3 linked regions of the Macaca mulatta genome follow. The protein of the gene in region 3 interacts with the protein of the main gene of each other region in a pairwise test. Links are inferred from orthologs where the notes say so. Each region holds a gene or a part of one and is shown on either strand. Other genes may lie near its edges.

Evidence for each region. The genes of interacting proteins can lie anywhere in the genome.
Region 1: the proteins of HOMEZ (region 3) and SUMO2 interact in binary tests that used the Homo sapiens proteins (3 or more experiments, as listed by UniProt). The two-hybrid records come from large-scale screens. The link is inferred for Macaca mulatta from reciprocal best matches to the Homo sapiens genes HOMEZ and SUMO2.
Region 2: the proteins of HOMEZ (region 3) and LNX1 interact in binary tests that used the Homo sapiens proteins (3 or more experiments, as listed by UniProt). The link is inferred for Macaca mulatta from reciprocal best matches to the Homo sapiens genes HOMEZ and LNX1.

What each region holds. Positions count from the first base shown.
Region 1 is NC_133421.1:84,873,334-84,877,436, forward strand, and holds the start of SUMO2 (small ubiquitin-related modifier 2), read right to left. Parts: upstream 2,880-4,103; 5' UTR 2,751-2,879; coding exon 2,730-2,750; intron 1,116-2,729; coding exon 984-1,115; intron 1-983. UniProt on the Homo sapiens protein: Ubiquitin-like protein that can be covalently attached to proteins as a monomer or as a lysine-linked polymer.
Region 2 is NC_133410.1:79,856,017-79,860,120, reverse strand, and holds the start of LNX1 (E3 ubiquitin-protein ligase LNX), read right to left. Parts: upstream 2,880-4,104; 5' UTR 2,433-2,879; intron 1-2,432.
Region 3 is NC_133412.1:96,383,158-96,387,301, forward strand, and holds the start of HOMEZ (homeobox and leucine zipper protein Homez), read right to left. Parts: upstream 2,823-4,144; 5' UTR 2,642-2,822; coding exon 2,602-2,641; exon of another isoform or gene 2,434-2,601; intron 2,306-2,433; exon of another isoform or gene 496-2,305; intron 1-495. UniProt on the Homo sapiens protein: May function as a transcriptional regulator.

The DNA.
Region 1 (4,103 bases), on a different chromosome or scaffold from region 3:
GCTGAGGCAGGAGAAGGGCATAAACCCGGGAGATGGAGCTTGCAGTGAGCTGAGATCTGGCCACTGCAGTCCAGCCTGGGCGACAGAGCAAGACTCCGTCTCGGGGGGGAAAAAAAAAAAAAAAAGAATAGCTTCAACTCAGGAGGCAGAGGTTGCAGTGAGCAGAGATTGAACCACTGCACTCCAGCCTGGGCAATAGAACAAGATTCTGTCAAAAAAAAACCAAAAAAAAACAAAAAAAACCCCACGATTTACAAGGTAGATAAGTTCTAGCTTAAAAAAATACGGCAAGACTCCCATCTCAAAAAAAAAAATAAAAAAAAAGACTTCTTGGTCTGGCGCAGTGGCTCATGCTTGTAATCCCAGCACTTTGGAAGACCGAGGCGGGTGGATCACCTGAGGTCAGGAGTTTGAGACAAGCCTAGCCAATATGATGAAACCCCATCTCTACCAAAAATACTAAAAAAAATTGGCCAAGCGTGGTGGCAGGCACCTGTAATCCCAGCTACTCAGGAGGCTGAGGCAGGAAAACTGCTTGAACCCGGGAAGTGGAAGTTGCAGTGAGCTGAGCTCACGCCACTGTACTTCAGCTTGAGCAACAAGAATGAAACTCCGTCTCAAAAAAATAAAATAAAATAATAAAAGACTCTTAAGTAATTTTACCAAGTTCACTCTTACTTTCTTATAAACATAAAATTACATTTCCTTGGTTAAAAAAAAAACCAAAAAACAAGTATTGTAAATACAATTTGATGGATTTCTGGCACAGGACTGGAACCACATATAATACTAAGCAAATCATCCTAAGGGTTTTCATGAGCAAGCTACCAAGTGCACGATAAAACTGACATGCCAAGTACAAGTGCATATTCATCCCATCAAAAAGTCACTGTAGTATTATGCCAGGCTAGTTTTTGTTCCCATGAAAATAAGATTTTTAAAAATAGTTTTATTCAGTGGAAGTACACATATGAATTCCTCACCTGTCGTTCACAATAGGCTTTCATTAGTTTACTAAGTGGTGTATGCCTCTTAATCTTAAACTGCACCACAGAACCATCCTGCCCCGCCACCTTCAAATTAATATGATCGTTGTTCTCAGTCTTGACTCCTTCCTGTTAAAAGAAAAATAAAAGTATAATTTGGGAAATGTGATCAACACACACTTTTATAAAGCAGCAGCAGCCCTAAGTTGCTTCAAAAATCAACAGGTTTCTCATACGGTATGCTAAAACGGCATACGGCTGTTTTCAGCTGCTGAAATCAATGTGAAAGAGGAGAAATCCTGCAGCAACAGTATTAGATAGCTGTCAGATACAGAAAAGCCTACATGCAATACTATCAGTAACAACAATACATGTTTAAAGTTGGGTCCTATTCAGTGTATTGAACGTTCTCTTGAAGCTAAACTTTCTAAAATGGCATATATCACTCCCAAAATATATATTTTACCCCCAAAAAAAGTTAAAAATAAGAGTCTCTTTTCTAAGCACTTTAAGTACAACTGCAAGAAACAAAACAATAAATCTACAGCCTGCCATTCAAAACTCATTACCGTTGTCGTTAAAAAGTTACCAAACTCAGTTTAATAACCTAAATCCAATCTCCATTAAAGTAAACACACACACGAAAAATCGAAGAATATCCCGATTCCCTCCGGAACAGCGGTAATACTCAGGACCACAGTTACGTTCTCCTCTATTAGCAGCTTCATTTTTATCTTCGGTTAAGAGCACTTATTCTCCCCTCCCCTTTGTTGTCATGGGTCAAATACACAGTTTTATCCCAAGTGTTTCTTGTAGATTTCGACCCAACCTAAAGTTGTCCAAAATCGAGTGTAGAAGGCATGCTGTAGCCCTAAAACGCTTCAGAAAGTAAAGGCGCGAGAGGCGGGAGGTGTCACCAAACTAAAAGCAGCAAGTCCCGTGTGCCCCGATGATGGGTGTCCCCCAGTCCTCCCGGGAAGTCTTCGGGTGCCTCAAAAGCCGCATTCAAAAGTTAAGCCGCACAAAGTCTCTCTGCTCCTACCTGTGCCTCCAACTTCATGAAACCACATGGTCTTCGCGGATTAGGGGTTCGTTGGCACCCAGGGAAAAGCCGCTGCCCCTCCCCCCTCAGGTCCCTGAGGCCATTAAAGTGGGAAATACTCCACGGGAATCCCCCTACCCCCAGGCCCAGTACGGCGGCCAGCGGGCATCCAGGTTCCTGCTCATCAGCAGCCCATTGATTCGCCCCGAACCCTCGCCCCGCCGCCGCCGCCCCGGGCAGGAGTCCCCAGATGCCCGCGGTTTCTACCCCTGAGAGGTGAAGCCCGAGCCCAGGGGACTCCCCGCCGCCTCGGAGACTGCAACACCCGACGCGGGGTCGGCGCAGGGTGGAGACCCCGCGCGCCCTAACGCCCCTCCTCACGCGCGCCGGACGGCTGGGCCAAGAATCCCCGTTCGGGGCTGGTGGGCCCGCGGGCGTCCGCGATCTGCCCGCCCAACTCGCGCCCCGCGCGCACTCGGAGGCCGCCGGGGGCGGGAGAGAGCGGCGGGGCCTCCTCCGGCGCGGGAGGGAGGAAGAGAGGGAGGGAGGAAAATGGCGCGGAGCGCCGGGGCCTGAGCTGCGGCCGGCCCTGTGGGGGGCCCGGGAAGGCGCTGGGAGCCAGCGGCGAGCTCTGGCCGGACCCCGGCCCGCGCCCTGACCCCGACCGCGCGGCGAGGCGAAGGGGCCGGCGCCGAGCTCACCTTGGGCTTTTCGTCGGCCATGGCGAGCGCCGGAGTCTCCTCAGCTGCCGCTTCACAAAAGAGGTACCAGGTCCGCACCAAACGAGCACACAAGCAGCACCAGGAGCGGCAGAAGAAGGAGGCGGCAGCGGTGGACGAGGGAGAGGGTGCGCGCACGTCGTGCGCTCCCTCCCCCCACCCTGCGTGCGCGAGCACGAGCCGCCGGGGCCTCCCATTGGCTGGCGCCTCGCGGGAGCGCGCAACGCTTACATAACCACCCCCACCCCCCGCCCCGCGCCACCGCGTCCTGGGCCAGGCGCCCGCCCGGCCGGCGGGAAGAAGCGCGGACACGCGCACCCGGCCCGCCGCGGGGGCGCGCCTGGCTCTGGGCGGGGCTGTATTGTCCTCCTTCGTGGTGGAGCATAATCAAAATGGCTTCCAGCTGGTCCTCGGTGGGAACGATGAGGCTCGAGGCTTTAGACGTGAGCCATAGGCCAGGGAAGGCTGACTGACTAGAGGAAGAAGGGGATTCCTAAATCAAAGCCCCAGCATGAGGTTCTGGAAAAATCTCTCTCTTTCAGTGGACCAGCAGCCCTCCCATGGTTACTTCCTCTCAGTCAGTCTTAACCTGCTTCCCACCGGACTCTTGCCTCAAATGCAGTGTCTTCTTCTTTTTTTTTTTTTTTTTTTTTGAGACGGAGTCTCGCTCTGTTGCCCAGGCTGGAGTGCAGTGGCACGATCTCGGCTCACAGCAACCTCTGCCTCCCAGGTTCAAGCGATTCTCCTGCCTCAGCCTCCCGAGGAGCTGGTATTACAGGCGCACGCCACAACACCCGGCTAATTTTTTGTATTTTTCGTAGGGACAAGGTTTCCCCGTGTTAGCCAGGATGGTCTCGGTCTTCTGACCTCGTGATCCGCCCGCCTCGGCCTCCCAAAGTACTGGGATTACAGGCGTGAGCCACCATACCCGGCCTGCAGTGTCTTCTTCTGTCCTGCTGGTAACCCTAGACTTTGACTAGCTACGGGAAAATGTTCGTGTATTCATTCAACGAACTCCTTACTCATCGCCTATCTTCCAAGAGGAAACAGTATCCTTAAGCGAGAACTACCCAACAATCAAGCTTCCAGCCAATTTAATCATTTCCTCCTTGCATCCAGTTAAAACATAGACATGCATCCCTCCTGTCTGAAGAACAATCCAGTGTGTGCACTGGATTCCATCTTGCTCCTCCCCCTGGGCTTTATTATTTGCTTTTGTCCCTGAATTTTCTTCCTCTCCTCCGTTAGTATAGAAAAAAAAAAAAAAAAAGAAGAAGCTCTCAATTCTATTAAGTTACCATCCTATCTCTCTCCATTCTTGGCCAAACAGCTTGAAAAAATGTCCCTGCCAGCTGT
Region 2 (4,104 bases), on a different chromosome or scaffold from region 3:
CTGAGCTAGGTGCCCTCTGATGGCAGGCTGTGTAGGCTCTCATTGCACTTGGCCACATGGAATGGAAATTTATGGCTTGTCTGCTTCCCACAGTGGACTGGGAGTTCCTTGAGGGTGGTGACTAAGGTTTTAAATCTCTATGTCCCACCCTAACCAAGCACCAGTTACCTTGTAAGTGCTTCATATCTGTTGTTAAGTAAATGAATAATGGAGAACCTAGACAAGGACTTGACAGAGAAGCAAAAGGAACAGTGACTGCCCAAATAGTACTTTTCACCCCTGGAAATGTTGTTACTACCCCGAGCATACAGTGAGCAGCCCACATCCATATAGATCAGCAGACCAAGTGGAATAGAATGAATGGAATGAGCCTGGCTTCTTCAGGCCTGATGCTGAGGACATGTGCCCTACCTGTATGGAGGAGATAGCTCTATCCCCCTCCAAAGACAGTGACAACACAGGTACATACACAAATGTATAGCATGTGTCACAGTCCTTAAAGACATTACATAGGGCTGAGCAAAGTAGGCACCTGTGCGGGTGTGGAGGACATATGGTAGCTCCAGAATTCCAGGAGCCAGCTCAGGGCAGCCCAGAACAAAGCGTCAGGGCCTAAGCAGGGTGCGGAGGGCGTCTGCATGGGGCAAGGGACAGTGTCATGATGGCAGTTGATGACATTTGGGGGATTGAGTGAATAAGCATATAATATATTAAGGATAATGGGAGCCAGCTTCTGATGAATGTTAGAGAAGGGAGTTACAAATGTAGAAAGGGAGTGTTGGATTGGAATTGGAAGTATGAATTGGCAGTATGAATTTATGGCTTTCAATACATATAGATTAATATAGAAATAAATAGATACGTAAATAGAGGAGGAAACTGGGATTCAAAATTAGATCTGTCTAGCTCTTTTCACTGATCTATACTACCGCCCTACACATAGGGCCTCTGCTGTGAAACCTCTGCCCCCTTCCCTGTCCCCCCAGAACCCCAACCCTAGCTCACACAGACTTAAAAGATTCCACCCTCCTGGTTCCAGAGCATGCATCACACCTCATGTCATTAGCTGCACACAACTATCTCATGACGTTTTGATTACACTGAGGGTAGGCCTCCTCTTATCTGTATTCCCTGCATCTCCCTTGGAGCCAGGCACATGGTCATCACACTAGTTAGTATTAATATTTATTGTGCAGTTGTTATGCATCAGGAAAGACTTCCCATACATAATCATTCACAGCTGAAGACAACCTTATGAGGGATGTATTACCATCGTTCTCATTTTACATATTGGCAAGGTAAGGTTAGCGGTGTTAACTGAGGTACTCCAAGATGCAGAGCTAGTGGGAAGTAGAACCAAGAGTCAAGGCCAGACAGTCTAATTCCTCAGGCTGTGCTCCTTGCCCCTCAGCTCTGCCACCATGGACTTGGTGTAAGTAAATGTTCACTCAACAAATTCCTCCCGGGGGATTTGTGTATCTGAATGCTCTCCCTCAATCCAAGTCCACTCTTTATGCTGAGCTTACTTGAAGCTCACCTCTTTAGGGAAGCCCCCCACCCCGCCATCCTACTCTGCACTGCCTCAGCATTCCTTGGGCACAGGACTTGCACCACGCCCTGACATATGAGCCAGTCAGTGTTGGAGCAGGGAACATAGTTTATCGACATTTGTTGAACTGAATTCAATGCCCAGGAATGGAAGTAAACAGGAATACATGACAAGGTGGTGTATTGTACAGGATACTGTGGCTATCTATTTCTGGATTTTCCTGAGAGTTCCAATTTCTAAAATTCCATCCTCTCATCAGACCATTTGTCAGAATACATGGCCAAGAATGTAGTCTGGAATTTTCTGTAAAGAGTAGGGTCACCATTCTACTGAAAAGAGATAGGAATGAAGACAGGATGTGCTGCTGGTCACCCACAACTCTACACATCCATGAGCAGGTCACAGCTTCTCTCAACCTCTTTATCCATGGGTAAAACTACAATGCAACACCTACTCCTACTGTGGAATGAAACAAAGTCTGTGTGTGAATGTGTTTTAAATACCGATAAAGAATATTGTCGCATAAACCCAGTTACTGTTAGTGGGATTACTTATATTTTTACTGATCTGTCTGGCAAGTCGTTTTCATTTGTCAAAGTAAATAAGCTTTGAATGAAGGCCACTGCAGAAAAAAATAGGGTATAAAAAGAGGAAATGCCAAGGCGTTTCTAGTGTTTTCAAAAAGACACACCTAGATATTTCCATCTTTTAGACTCTCCTCAGTTTGGGGTGTGTGTGTGTGTGTGTGTGTGTGTGTGTGTGTGTGTGTGTGTGAGAGAGAGAGAGAGAGAGAGAGGTGAGAACTGGGGGCTGAGTGGGCAGAGGTGACGTTTTTAAGAAATGGTATGAGATTCTACCTTGTAGAGGAACTAGGCCATCTTACCTTTGCTGTATTGCGGATCAGTTCCCAGCTGTGTGAAGTCTCAGGTGATAGTCCGTTTGAGAGATGAGTTCTGCTGGCTTAGCAGTAGCTCAGGAAATTTTTCTTTCTCTTTCCAGTATTCTGTGTCCCAGCTATGCATGAAAACTGCTCCACCATTGTACATGCAGGGGTTAACCAGGACATCCCCTGTCCCTTCTGCAAGGCTTTGGGTAGAGCAGATTCATAAAACTGAGAGCAGCTATGGAGAGCTTAGCGGGAGAGTGGTCCCCTGCAGAGCAGCATGCATTAGCATCAGTGACAAATCTATTCTGGTTTGGATGGGGCTGAGACGCCCCTGAACTTCCTTCTGCTTTTGCCAAAAGCCAAGATCCTTTTGTTCACCTTTAGGGTTGCCAAGTCAGGCCTACCTCGCCCCTAGATGTTGTTTCCTGTGGGCAATGGGAAAATGATCTTGGAGCCAGAGAAGGGAAATCAACAAGGAAATAAACACAGGGTCACCACACCTTCAGGCCATCATTAGGTCTGGAACATTATCATGCTAATAGGCAGGGGCTGCTGACTGGACAGGCCCTAGAATCCTGGGCATCTTTTATTTTTGAATATGAAAAGGGACATGCACCAAAATCTATATCAGGCAAATAAGTAGTTCTGACTTGTTCCAATACCTTGCCAAAACTTTCAAAGATTTTCTCTCGGCAGTATTGCTCATAACTGAACACTGGCTAATGTTTGTGGACAAAGAAGAAGACTGAGCAAGTTTGTGGCTGATACTACTTAAGACTCTTAACTCTAAAGATACAGAATGATTGTTTAAATAAGGATTTCTTCTGCTCATTCTTCAGCATTACCATCGCCATCACTGTCAGCCGCTGCAACATCTTTGCTAACATTTATTAAGTGCTTACTGCCTACCAGGTTCTGTAGTAATTACCTGACCTGCATTATTTAATTTAATTCTCAACAGAATCTATAATTATCACTCCCATTATATAGATAAAGAAACTGAGGATTAGAGAGATTAAGTCGTTCCTGCAAAGTGACCCAGCTAGTTAAAAATGTAAACGTTGCGCTTCTGGAAGTGTGCTTTTCTGAGTTTTGCTTTTCCCACTGGTTTGCTTAAGCACTTCTGTGGGATGACAGCTCCAGTGATGGCCAAAGATTTTGCTTAAATAAGCGATAAGCTCTGGGAATTCGATTCTAAGTAGAAATGTGAATAATTAGTGAATTAAGTAGTCTCTTTCCAGAGATGTGAATCGGGAGCTCGGTGTTATCTTATGTATGTGCAACATGCAAGAAAGACACATGGAGTGCAGGTACTTGTGGCTCCCTAATTACAGGTGGTGCCGCTGGCTGCGGTGCCTTCAGCTCTCCACTGTGACTCTGATTTACAAACAAGGAAGTACACTGCAAATTCCTTGGCCTCTGTGTGCATTTTGGTCATGGCCTGATTGCCACTTTGTCCCTTTGACTTTCGGAGCCAGCTGCTACAAGTTTCTTTTAATCAATAATCCACGGAGTGAATGAGGCAAAATTGCCAACCTGGAAAATTCTGCCTGGTGAGATGAAGTCAGCACATGTATTTTCAGTCCTAAGGTCACACTTCTGACTCTTTTTGGTTCTACCCCTAATCTTTATTTTCAATTGCTAGCACTTAGCTCTCTTGTGTCATGGC
Region 3 (4,144 bases):
TCAGGAGGCCGAGGTTGCAGTGAGCCAAGATTGTGTCACTGCACTCCAGCCTGGCGACAGTGAGACTCTGTCTCAAAAAAAAAAAAAATTCTCACTCTCTCTCTGAGTCAGTATAACACCCTTCTTTCCCCTTGGGCTTTCCATATCCCTGGACAGATGGCAAACAAGAATGGACTGTCTTAAACTTCCAGTTTCTGTGTTTACACAGTCCTAGGAAAAAGAGGACTCTAGAACTTTAGGTTTGAACCTAGGCCTATCGTTAAATTAGGAGACAGTTAAAGTGGGAGGCGAGGCTGGGTATAGTGACTCACGCCTATAATCCCAGCACTTTGGGAGGCCGAGGCGGGAGGATCACTTGAGGTCAGGAGTTCGAGACCAGCCTGGTCAACACGGTGAAACCCGTCTCTATTAAAAATACAAAAATTAGCCAGGCATGGTGGCATGCGCATGTAGTCCCAGCTACTGGGAAAGCTGAGGCAGGAGAATCGCTTGAACCTGGGAGGCAGAGGTTGCAGTGAGCCATGATCACACCACTGTACTCCAGCCTGGGGGACAGAGTGAGACTCTGTCTCAAAAAATAAAAAATAAAAATAAATAAAGTGGGAAATGAGATATGATCCTGCAGAGTTCCCTAAATCTTTATTTAGAGGCAGTCTGAAGTACTCCTGAAATGTGTTTGGGGATACAGTTTTAAGGGCCTTAAAGATGTATAGTGATATTCAGCTTATATGCTTCTTAACTTTTTAGTTCATGAACCTCTGAGAATCAGACAAAAGTTACAGACCCTCAGAAAGTTATGACCAACCTTCCCGAAATAAACATTCACACTTACACAGTAAACTCAGGGCCTTTAGTGACTGCCAAGAAGCCAGGTTAAGGATTACTGCCTTATATCCTTCCAACTTAACAAAGGCAATAGTGGTAATCACTTAAAGATGAACAGTTTGATGTGAACGAATGTAAAGAGTTGATGGAATACTCAGGAATTCAAGTGCGTTTAGAAGGGACAAGGTAATTGTGATATTAGTTGGAAAGAGTGGAAGGGAAGGATGCTCACCTGGGCCAGGAGCCTGGCTTAACTGACCCACTGGATTACATGACCAATACCATGGTGCACTGGAAACTAAAGGCCAGTAGGCTACTACTAGTGCGCCAAAATCATCTGCTTCATTCAGTTGTCCTGTGTGCTGGGGCCAGTTTTGTGTGATTACAAACCTGCTTATGTCCACACTTTTTCAGTGTCTGTATAATAATGTAATTAAACCTCATGTAAACCTATGAAAAATCACTGCATTGAAAACTGTTCCTTCAGGAATACTGATTTTTAAAAAATTGGTCCTATGAAAACTAAGTCAAATGTTTTGGAGAGACATAACGCAAAGAAGAGTATGCATTTTAAAAATTGTTGAGTTGGGAGTGAGCAAGACAACTGTAAAAGATTGAGGGGTGGGACTTAATCTCAAAAGTACTCTGCACTCAAAAGCGTCTGAATTCTTAACTTCACTTTAAATAAAGCAAAACGGGAAATCAAAGATGATGAAAGTGCCTGAGTGGCTCTCATCTCAGACTGCACTGTAGAATTACCTGGGAAGCTTAAAAACCAGGCCACTCTCCTCCCCATTCAGATTCAATAGTCTGTACTGGGGTCCAGGCATCCACAGTTTTTTAAAAAGTTCTCAGGGTACAGCCAGGTTTGAGACTCCCTGTGTAGTTAACACTGGAAAGAGAATTGGGAACTCCGAACAGCAGTCTTAGACACAAGAACAGTCTCACCACTACATCAAAAGATTGGTGAAATGGACATACTTTTAATTATAATGTTCAAGATATGTATGCATTATCTTTAAAATTCCCAATCTGGTTTTTTCAATTACAACCATCTAACCTAATCATGTAATATAAAAGGGCTTCAAGTGTATGATGGGAAAGAGGCTCACATGACAAAAAAAAAAAAAATCTCCTGATCTGGGCCCACATTACCAAACAGGTCTCAGCTTGAGTCTTCTTTCACTTTAGGAGTCTCAGAATAGGACGCAACACTAGGAACCCCAGAGGACTCGGGTTCTCAGTTTCCTGGTTGGTTTTCTGAGTATGGCTGGGTACGGGAATCAGAGGGGCAGTTTCTTCTAAACCTTTCATTCCCAAAGGCCGCTGATCCCCCAGAAGCAAGGCCAGGTTCTGCACGTGTGTTGAGGTCGCCAGGAGGTAGCCATGGGGGTTGGGGGTTTGTGTGGCGTCGGGGGGGGCCTGGGAAGGAAATGTTTCTCCTATCCTCCATTTCACAGGCAGTCCAGAAGGCTCCGAACTGGGTCAGGGAACAAAAAGTTGTTGCACTTGGGACGATGAGCCCCATGAGGCAGGCGAATCTCAATCCTACTCTCGCCAAGGGCGCCCCAACCCAACCTTCTTGCCCTCCCCTACACAGACACTTACCCTCCCCTAGTTACAACAGGGAACCGAAAAGTCCAGAGGAGAAAAAAGAGAGAACCGAGCCACTTCGAACCTAGAATTCTCCCCCCACCAGCGCGGGGATGGGACTCCAGAGGTGGGAGACCGTACACGAGCTGGGAGGGGAAGTCCAAGGGGCTGGGGATCACTCACCGCGGTCCAGCCCGGGCGGCGGCTCCCAGCCTCGCACCATGGGCCGGGGGGAAGTGGGGGAGAGGGCAGGGGGCCTCCGAGTGGGAGTGGGGTTGCTGCCCGGTGCGGCCGCTCCGAGCCCACCCGAGCGATGGCCGAAACCGGGACTGCCCCCCCACACCGCCCCCGGGAGTGCGCCGGTCTACCCAGCCCTGCTCGAGCAAGTTGGAGGCGGGGCGGATGGGTGGGGTGGGCGTCCAGAGGCGGTGCCAAGGTGGCCCGAGTCCTGATTGGTGGGCGCAGGCGGGCGGGCACGGGCGAAGTGCACTGGGCTGGCCATTGGCTGCTTGGGTCTCGGCTGAAGTCGGCTATTGGCTGCGTGGGCCTCAGCTGGGGTCATCTATTGGATGCGTGGGGCAGGGAAGATGTCCCCTGGGGCCAAGCTGCGGTGCCTGGTACCTCCCCCTACCCTCGACCTATGGGCGCTGGACCTTTGGAGTACCCCGGGCCAGGATCCTTCCGAAATTCCCCAAGGAGGGACACTGCACTTTGCCGAACTGTCTGGACCGCCAACAACTCCCAATTTGTTTCCTTCTGAAGGAAGCCCTCCAGGAAGACCTTTTCAGTGCCCCCTCCCGAGCCATACACACGAGCTGCGCCTTTCCCAGCCGAGAGCCCAACCGCCACCAGCAGCGTCAGCAGTAACAAAGCGCCTAAAGCAACCGGGAACTTGTTCTCGAGATGGATCAGATGTCTTGCCACCCGGAAAGACGAGGACCTTAGGAGCCTGCGGGCGACTTAGGCCGTTCCCTGGGTCAAACTGGCACCAGACCGATGTTCCCAAAGATGAAGTGCTGGAGCAGTCACCTCACTGGGACCTACCAGACCCTCCGGCTCCCCTCCTTGCCCTAGAAAAGAGGACCCGGAGTTCTGCATAGTATTTGTTTTTCACTAGCTAGAAAGGGATGAAGACTGAGGTGGGAGAATAACTTGATTCCAAGAGTTCGAGGCCAGTCTGGGCAACATAGTGAGACCTTGCCTCAAAAAAAATTTTTTTTAACTTACAAAAAGAAAGGGATGACAATAAAACGGACTTCACCAAAGCAGTATCCCACACAGTATGAAGTTATAGGCCAAAATTTGTATTTTAGGATTCCCCATCTTCTGTGAGACAAAGTAACAAATGTAAGAAGCCAGACTTGCTCAATTCTGCTTGGCAACATAATTTCACAAAGCCTCTGACTCTGAAGTCTCTGGGAAGACCCTTTGAAGACAAAAGAGGATAGGGCACACAGTCAACCATGTCTCTTGCCTGAGTCACTATATTCCCTAAAAGATAAACGGGCTGGGAGCGGTGGCTCACAAACCTAATCCCAATGCTTTGGGAGGTCAAAGAGGGAGGATTGCTTGAGGCCAGGATCCAAGACCAGCGAGGCAACATAGCGAGTCCCTGTCTCTGCAGAAAAATTTAAAAATTAGCTGGACTTGGTGGCGTGCACTTGTAGTCCCAGCTACTCAGGAGGCTGAAGCAGGAGGATCGTTTGAGCCCAGGAGTTGTAGGCTG